Nothobranchius furzeri: one gene and its partner. The protein of the gene in region 2 binds, or shares a complex with, the protein of the main gene of each other region. Links are inferred from orthologs where the notes say so. Each region holds a gene or a part of one and is shown on either strand. Other genes may lie near its edges.

What was found.
Region 1: the proteins of eif2b5 (region 2) and eif2b3 are in contact, whole or in part, in a cryo-EM structure (PDB 7VLK), measured with the Homo sapiens proteins. The link is inferred for Nothobranchius furzeri from reciprocal best matches to the Homo sapiens genes EIF2B5 and EIF2B3. Residues at the interface, in NP_003898.2 of Homo sapiens: Pro190, Val202, Arg222, Arg223, Phe224, Ala225, Phe226, Pro227, Leu228, Phe231, Gln232, Ser234, Ser235, Asp236, Gly237, Val238, Glu239, Val240, Arg241, Tyr242, Asp243; in NP_065098.1 of Homo sapiens: Arg155, Phe157, Glu178, Glu179, Leu180, Val181, Ile182, Lys183, Gly184, Leu187, Gln188, Pro191, Arg192, Ile193, Arg194, Phe195, His196, Thr197, Gly198.

The regions. Positions count from the first base shown.
Region 1 is NC_091751.1:54,335,248-54,339,538, forward strand, and holds the start of eif2b3 (translation initiation factor eIF2B subunit gamma), read left to right. Parts: upstream 1-1,274; 5' UTR 1,275-1,569; intron 1,570-2,728; 5' UTR 2,729-2,733; coding exon 2,734-2,881; intron 2,882-4,291. UniProt on the Homo sapiens protein: Acts as a component of the translation initiation factor 2B (eIF2B) complex, which catalyzes the exchange of GDP for GTP on the eukaryotic initiation factor 2 (eIF2) complex gamma subunit.
Region 2 is NC_091751.1:63,542,394-63,546,888, reverse strand, and holds the start of eif2b5 (translation initiation factor eIF2B subunit epsilon), read right to left. Parts: upstream 2,943-4,495; 5' UTR 2,731-2,942; coding exon 2,569-2,730; intron 2,352-2,568; coding exon 2,227-2,351; intron 2,145-2,226; coding exon 1,959-2,144; intron 1,888-1,958; coding exon 1,710-1,887; intron 1,628-1,709; coding exon 1,547-1,627; intron 1,471-1,546; coding exon 1,393-1,470; intron 1,311-1,392; coding exon 998-1,310; intron 893-997; coding exon 747-892; intron 653-746; coding exon 508-652; intron 435-507; coding exon 333-434; intron 256-332; coding exon 154-255; intron 25-153; coding exon 1-24. UniProt on the Homo sapiens protein: Acts as a component of the translation initiation factor 2B (eIF2B) complex, which catalyzes the exchange of GDP for GTP on eukaryotic initiation factor 2 (eIF2) gamma subunit.

The DNA of each region.
Region 1 (4,291 bases), about 9.2 Mb from region 2:
TGTTGATTTATTCAATATATTTACATACAACTGTACATTGTTCAGCGCTTTGGGCTTCCTGACAGGGTTGCGGAAGGCGCTTTATAAATAAAGCTTTGATTGATTGATTGATTGATTGAACAATCCAGACATGACATTAAAAAAGACAAAGGTTTTAATTGTATGTGTCTACATTCATAACTATGAAGGTACACAGTAACGAACACACTGTGAAGCTCACAGTAATCAACTGGCAGCAATTAACAAGTAAGTTATTGTTAAAAAGGATTACAGTGCTGATGCTGAGTTTGTGATTTCCTACAGTTCACAGTACATTTTTGTGAGATTTCAAACTATTGTAAATTATTGTATTATTATTTAAAATAAAAAAATTAAAATGTGCACTTTTTTCCGTTTTCCTTTATAAAAACTGACTTTTATCATACAGCTTAATCTGTGATAGCTATACATTTTCCCCAATGCACTGATTCTACTGCCCTCACTTAACCCAATAATACTAAAGCCTACTGCATACTCTGCAAACAAGATGCAAAAAGATAAATCAGTTCACCTACACAATTAGCCAACAGGCTTTTGCCAAATTCGGCGTACTGGATTCAGTGTGCACTCTTCGTTCTATGGTGTTGCTCACTCAAGCTACGGTACTTTGTCTTTTTTTCCTCACTTGTTGCTTGCCTGGTTTTGAGCAAGCAGTAATGAGCAGTCAAGCTCATCTCCTGGCCAGAACAAACAAAACCAAAGCCACATTCCCCGAGCTCAATTTTCTGTTACGTCTCAGCTCTGTGGATTGAGAGTTTTCAGGCCTGAAGTTTGGAGGCTGTGTGACTTCTGGCTGCTAATATACTCACACTATTTTGGTGTCTGTGTGAAAGTAAATTCATTAAACATGCTTAAAAGTAACATGCATTCATATAATGTTTTAAACCAAAAATTTAAAGGGTGGGGGTATCATTGAATAGAAATAAGGAAAATATTGCAATTAACAATCTTTGAATACTTATTATCACCGGTGTTGATAAATAAAGAGATCTGTATTTTCACACTTTCTTCAGATCATTACAAAGTTAGATTATATCTTAGCTCTTATTCAGAAAAAATGTTTTTAAATTTTCTCATAAATGAAATCTGTGCATGTGCTTTCCGTTTTTTTGAATAACTACACATTCATATTATTAGACAGACAGCCATAATGCTTTCATGTAATAACATTCACGTCAGCGGTAATACCCGGTATATTCTGTAGGAACAAATGTCGAGGAATCAGTTTCCTCACGGGCACATTTTACTGAACACTCCCAATGTCATCATACTATTGCTAGCTGTTAGCTTGGCTTACGCTGTTCTTGTACAGTGTTTCAGCAAGCTTTTTGATTTTTTTCACCAACGCTTATCATATGATAAGTTTTGCTTCCAAAAGAGCTGTCTAGCTGAGTTTGACTTTGAGCATTAATTTGAGTAGCGGCATCGTTTACGTCTGTGTACCGATAGTTAGCCAGGTGCTAACTACTCATCACAACTTGCATGCGTCTGTTTCTTCTGTCATCGAAAGGCAACTGGATTTAAGGATAGGTATGCAAATGTTAACCATTCTCGAGTTCAGGCATTTTACTCGAGTTGAAGTCACTGGCATTTATTTAATTGAACCGCATGTTGTGATGCTCTTGCCCTGTTCAACCTTATGTGAGACGATAACTTTTCCTTTCAGTGAGCTTTTTCAGTCACCGGCACGTCTCATCTTGTCCCACAGTTCTTATTGCTGCATTTCAAGCTGCGCTAATCAAGCAAGGTCATGAATCTAATCTAAACGTTAAATTCTGTTAAACTATAGGAATGTGTTTTTAGTAAAAAATAAGAAAACGTTTACTACTTTTGTCAATATATGTATTGATTCATATTTCTGTACATTTACAAATAATTACAGATTATCTTTCATATCGCGTTTAACCTCTCATTAAGGTATTAAACGTTTGCAATCTAATGTTTTAAACCTAAACATAATTAGCACACAATTAGGCAGAATTTCAAACAAAATCAACACATGCATATAATCAGTCTTTACTCATTTCAATAGATCTTTTAAACTGATTTCAAATTAGCTTCACAGCTTTGAGTAAGGAAAATAAATCTACAATATATATATATATCCAACAGATGAAAGATGCCTCATGCCTACCTTCTTAAATTTCTAAAGATGTCCAGCAGTGTCATGTGCTCAAAGTTGTACAAACCTTTTAAATACCTGTGTGACCTAGGTACACATATCTACTCTCTTAATTAGTCTAACAAGAAATGCTCTTAACATGTTATTATACAGACAAACCCATACAGCTTATCAAAAATATAAGAACTTAGGTGCAGCCAAGTAGGTGCTCTGATTAAGGCAACAGTTACTAGATTATCTCAGAAGATTATGCCAAAAACCTGCAGTGTGGACACTTGATTGTCTGCAGGCAACCGGGAAGAAAGTTCTTGCAAGTTTGGTGCTGCATTTCTGCAACAAGATGACAATCTGATACAGCTAGTGAGCATCACAGAGCACTTGACCTTAACAGGATTGTGTCAAAAGTTTAGTTAAAGCAGCAAATAAGTGTACCTAGAAGAACATACGCTGATGTGAGGGCATCATGCATTGATTTGATTTCCAGTAGCTGTTCATTAATGTTAGTTTTGGCAGTTCATTTGATAAAAACTGTTATTATTTTCTTTTAAAGTCTGTTTCTCTCTCCAGACATCATGGAGCTTCAGGCGGTGTTGATGGCAGCTGGGGGAGGTTCTCGTATGACTGACCTAACATACAACACACCTAAACCTATGCTGCCTGTTGGCAACAAACCACTTATGTGGTATCCCTTGAACCTGCTGGAGAGAGTCGGCTTTGAAGGTGAGAACTCAAGCGTTAATTATAATAATTAACATTTTTATACCCTACATAAGCTACAACAAACCCACCTTCGACATGATTAAAAGTCAAATCCAGCAGTATAAGCATAAACACATGTGGGCCATCTAACGTTTAAACTGTATGGACTTGTATGTCGAGTTACGCTGTAATTTACCTTCTAACATCCTCTCAACAATCAGATCTCATGGCGGGAGGGCTCCGTGTAAGCTTTGTGCCCTCCATCCATGTCTCAGTGGCAGGATTTGGAAGAGTTATGGGGAGCACATTCTTGGTTTCCACATAAAATGTAAAGAGGCACAATACAGCTTGTAGGTTTATGTGACTCACTTGAGAAATCCGGAACTTAAAATAGAAAATAAAAATAAAAACTTGACATAAGGACTTGGACAGCATCTTTTATGTATTTGTCTACGCATAATTTTGTGCTTTAGCCTTATTTTCACAGATAAATACATAGACACACAGTTTAAGTCACAAGTAAGGATTAAAACAAATATAATGGTCCTTTGGTATGTGCTTGCTGTGTTGCTTTTCTAACTGCATTGTTGGTTATTTTTTAAAACACAGAAAAGGTTTATTTTTTACCTTTCTGCTCACAGTTTTATTCGCGGTTGCAAACTTCCTCAGAGCGGACGCGTCAGCAGCAAGGTAAAAAAAATAAACCTTTTCTGTGTTTTAAAAAAGAACCAACAATGTAAATATAATGCTATTCACCAGTTTCTTAACTTTAATGAGACAATGTAGTTTTTACCTTTAATCTCTGGAAATATCCATCAAAATGTTGTTGAAAATGAATAAAAGGATGTCCAGTTGTTGAAAAACATTAGCAGCTTCGTTACAAATAACCAAAAACATCAAGACTAAAGTACATGGCGTATTTGGGGGGTGCCATATTAGACGCCATGTTTCCTTTTGACCGTCTTGGGGTCTTGTGCCTGTTGATGACATCACACTAGATAATTGGCTGGACATGGTAGTATGAAACAGATTTAATAACAAAACTGCTAAACTCTTTCCCAGACATATGTGAAAGAGCAGAATTGAAAAGAGATGCAATATATTTTGGCTAAGCGATATTGCCATAGTGGGATGACATCATTGGCAGGCGTAGGACCCAGAGCAGATCCGGAAAGTGCAGCGCAAGAAAACTAGAGTCGGCATTGCATTCTCTCGATGGAATTACCTGAAGGACCCTCAAAGTCTGAGGTTGCATGCCTTCTGCTCCTCAGATAATGTTTACTGTAATGTTTATTTTTTATTTATTTATTTATTTTTACCAGCGGCAGTCATGGCGAAATGGTGTAAAACTACTCTGAAATGTATGCACTACCCTAGTGCCAGGAAACTACACACTGCCACTCAAGATCCTGGTTCTGGGTTTAGGGCCTT
Region 2 (4,495 bases):
TCCCGATCACCTCCATCTGGAAGACTGCACAACAGCAACATTCAGGCGCTTTGAGTTTTAAATGGCCTCTATGAGCTCACTGAAACATGTGAAAATATGAAATTTAACCAGCCGTGGGCAGTCACACACGTCAACATCCAGATGGCTTCTCACCTTTGACGTCGTCCATCTCAGGAGACAGGCTCACCGGATCATCCGGGCCATCCGGCTCACCGTCCTCACTGTCGCTCTCCGGATCCGGGTTCAACACCAAACCTGGTCGTATCCAGTAAACATTATTAATTAAACTGAGTCGGGATTCACGCGTCTATATGATGGGATGTGTCTCCTACCCCAGAGACACTGAGACAGCTCCTCGTCCTCCGTGTCATCCAGGCTGCTGGCCTTCCAGATGTAACCTCTCCCTTCTGCTCCAACCTCAGCTGGGTTGAAAACTGGGAGACAGAAGAAAGTACAGATGTATTCCTACATTTCACTTTAGTTATTCAAATCAGAGTCATTTCAAACCTTTCTGCTTGCTTTTGTCTTTACTGTGTCCAACTTCAGCATCATCACTGAGGAACTCGTCAGCATCTTCCTCCTGCTCCTCCTCGGGATGATGCATGGACACAACGGTTCCTTCAGACAGACACACGTTTGGTCCTATCACCACCTAAAACCAGTTCAAAGTCTAATTACCACACAAAAACCTAGAGACGCCACCATTTGGTGCCTTTTTGTACCCAGATGGTGTGTTTGTAGCTTACATTATAAGCCAAGACACATTGTTTGTTTAGGGTCACGCCCTCTTTGACCTCAGCCTTGTCACAGACCACAGACTGCCTGATCTCAACGTTACTGGCAATGTGAACATTATTCCAGATGTAGGCGTGGTCCAGGACTACATTGTCGCCTGTTGAAAGAAATTATTAAAAGATATCAGGGACTTTTCTGTAACCTGATGCACAATCACCCGTTATCTGACAGTTTCTATTCGTGTAATCCAGACTATGCTGACCTATGGTGCAGTTGTCCCCAATGACGCTGTTCGAGAGACAGCAGTTGGCGCCAATGCTAGTGTCGCAGCCAATGAGAACGTTCTCCTTCATCTGGCTGCCGTGGCCCAGGCTGACTCCGGACCCGCGGTACACATTGTGGCGAGAGTACGTGCAGCTGCGGCCCTCCTGATCCGTGAAGTTGGACTCGGGCGTGATGGGGTAGAACCATCGCCGCACAAAGTCAGACGACACAGAATCGTACATGAGTAAGTTGGACACGCGAACACCGTAGCCATCGTGAGTGGCGTGTATGTGGATCTGATTACCAAGTATCTAAACAGAGAAAATATATTAGAACTCATCTAAAAGGTACAAGGAGAACACAGCGTGATGTGGAAAAACAGCTCTGAGGCACCTCTTCATTGACCAATAGCCCTCTGACAAAATCATCCCTAGTTTGGTAATCAAAGTTATCTGTGAAGAGCTCGGCGACCTGGAAAAAATGTGCAGAAATTTTTATTAAAGTTGCCAATAATACAATTCAGGATTTTATATGTATTAAACCTCACCTGTGGAGAGCAGATACTGATGTGGCAGTCCAGAAGGTCATGTCTGATTTCAAACTCATCACTACTGCTGTGAAAAATGTTCTGCAAAACATCAACAGAAGCATCTATTAGAGATCTACCAAATCTAAAAGTTTGATCATCTACCAGTGAAACAGCAGCTTACCATGGGAAACTGCAGCTTCTTCAGCCCTTGTGTCTTCTGGTAGTGTAAAATCTGCTGACTCTTACTGTCCACAGCTACAACAACATCATCTTCCTCACAGCGTGACCTGTGACCTGGAGATGAATCCTTAAAGATCATGGTCATCACGGAGATAATCTTCTCCATCTTTCGCCGGTGCCTGAGGTGTGCGAAACCCAGTTTAAGTGCATAAACTCCACAGACTGATGAGTAAAGAAGAGACTCTTGTACCTGTGCTCCTGCAGAGCCTGACTGACATCAATGTTTGATATGACATCTCCATAAACCAACACAAAGTCAGATCGCACAAGAGACTTTGCATCGACATCCCTGAGCACGTCTCCGAGGGAGCGGTACAGTTCTGAGGTGATGATGTGGACCGTGTTTGGAGAACTGGGTCGACACCACTTTGAGTTCCTGTCAGGTGAAACATCAGATCCACCTCTTTAGTTTAAATTAATCAGGAAGCACTGAATCACCCACACACTCAAACACTCACAACAAATGCGCCTTGATTTTACTGGCCATCCAGCAGCAGAAGACAAATGTTTCCTGCACTCCGGTGGACGTGAGGAACTCCAGAGTGTAATCGATCATGGCAGCATTGCCCAGCGGGAGCAAAGCCTGACATCACAGTGACAGTAAATAAAATGTATCATTATGTCTGTCTGGGAGATTAGGAATAATTCTAACACGTTTTCAATTTAAAAAAAAAAAAGTTAAAACGTATCTATTTTTTATTGCTTATTAACGAGTTTCTATCAGTTTATAGCAACTCTGTCTGTTTACAGCAGAACATCACTTAGCTAACATTAGCATGTTAGCTTAGCTCGCTGCTTACCCGTGGCTGGTCCTTAGTCACCGGGAAAAACTTTCGGTTAAAGCTGTCAGCGACTAGGACGGCCTGCAGCGGCTGCTCCTCCTCCTCCTGCTCCCCGGCACCTTTCCTACCCGAAATGCCGGAGCCTGAACGACTCTGTTGTTTTCCTCCTTTCCCAGCCATGTTTGACTCCGAGGTGCACAAGTGTGTCGTCAGAATGGACTACGGTGGTCGTGACGGGACAATTTTTTGCGCAAACATGTATTCTTTATTACTTTATTCGTATTTACCTAAAAATCAAAGTTGCGCTAATGACGATTTTTCTTATGATTTAAAACCCTTTTGTCGTCTTCAAGGAACACTAAGAAAAAAATTAGGCCTAAGAAACCAGACTTGACATCATGTCTTCCTGGTCCAAATAATAAATACACACTCCACAAAAACATACTAAATCAACACACTACATCAAGTTGGCTCTTTATGAGAGCCAGACAAAACAGAATTTATGTTACTAACTTTTCTTCTGAAACAGATTTTATGAAATCACGACGCATGTTCTACTTGGCAGACGTTTCTTTTAAGAAGTTACCCACCCTCTAACAAAGCTAGCCCACATGTAGCTCAAGCTAAACACAAACAACAACAGATGTTTCTGATGATCCCAGACAACACAGCACCACACCATCCATGTTTCTAATTCAGAATGAATGATCCTCTGGGGAATAAAACAAAAACGTACACCTAATGTCAAATATGTTACAAGTTCCCCTTTTACTCAGGTGTGGTCATACAAATGCATGCACATAATTAAATGCAGAAACTTGAAATCTGGATTTAAATATTAGCTTCAGCTTTATTTGCACATTAACATTAACAGTGATTGGAAGAAGTGAGAAGAATCTCCAACTCCAGTCAAAAACTACAGTGTTTAGTTCTAATGCACATCTGAAGTTTCTTTAATGGCAGCGTTGTAATTTAAGATCCAAGCACAGCAATGAATTGTGAAGAAAAAAATTTTAACCAAACATTTTTTACATAGAATTCTTCAAATTATATTTTCTCCCTCGTTGCAAGCGATGAGTACATTTTCCGTATTTGATGGATGTGATTCCTGTTGTATTTTAGAGGAAGCAAAAGTGAAAATGCTTAAACATAATCAGTTTTATCTTCAGCGTGATGAGTACATATCAGTCATAAAGCTCTCAATCAAAACATTTTCAGACTCATTTTAAACAAATCAAAGAACATCCGAAGTAACTAGCTTAACTCAAGCAGAGACTAAAACATCAGGCTTTTGTCACTCATGTTTAGACAGAAACCCTCATAAGCAGCTCTGCAGAAGCTCAACAGTTCTTCATGATATTCCAGATTACAGGTGGTGTTTGGTAATCTTCTCAGCATGCTCCAGGACTGATTTGCATCTGAGGGTTTTGCTCATCCACGACGTCGGGATTCCCTCAATCCCAACCTAGAATCAAAAAAGCAAATTTAATTAAACAGCCCATGAATAGTTTCAGGACATTAGAGATGTTACATTAACAGTGAGACCTGAGCTCCAAGACACGCTCCAATGAAGGATGCTCTGCTGCAGGTGCACCCCCCACAGCTCATGGTGTCTCTGATGGCCGACTCAAACTGGGAGGCTGTCAGGACGCCGTGTAGCGCTGCTTGAAAAGCACCTGGTAAACCTAAATCCACAACAGACGCATTTAGCTCATTCATCTGACTGCTTACATTTTAATGACAACATTTAAGTTAACTGTACCTCAGGTGTTTGGAAACACAGAGGGAATCATCTCCTGTGGAGTCTTTGATAAACTCTCCTTTACCTGATAAATGTGTCCTGAAATCAGGCAGAAAAGACTCGGCTCATTAAAAGAGAAACGTGAGCGGGTCGCCTCCAAGTCATTTGTTTTAGCTTCACATCATGAAAGTTCATCTAATCGCA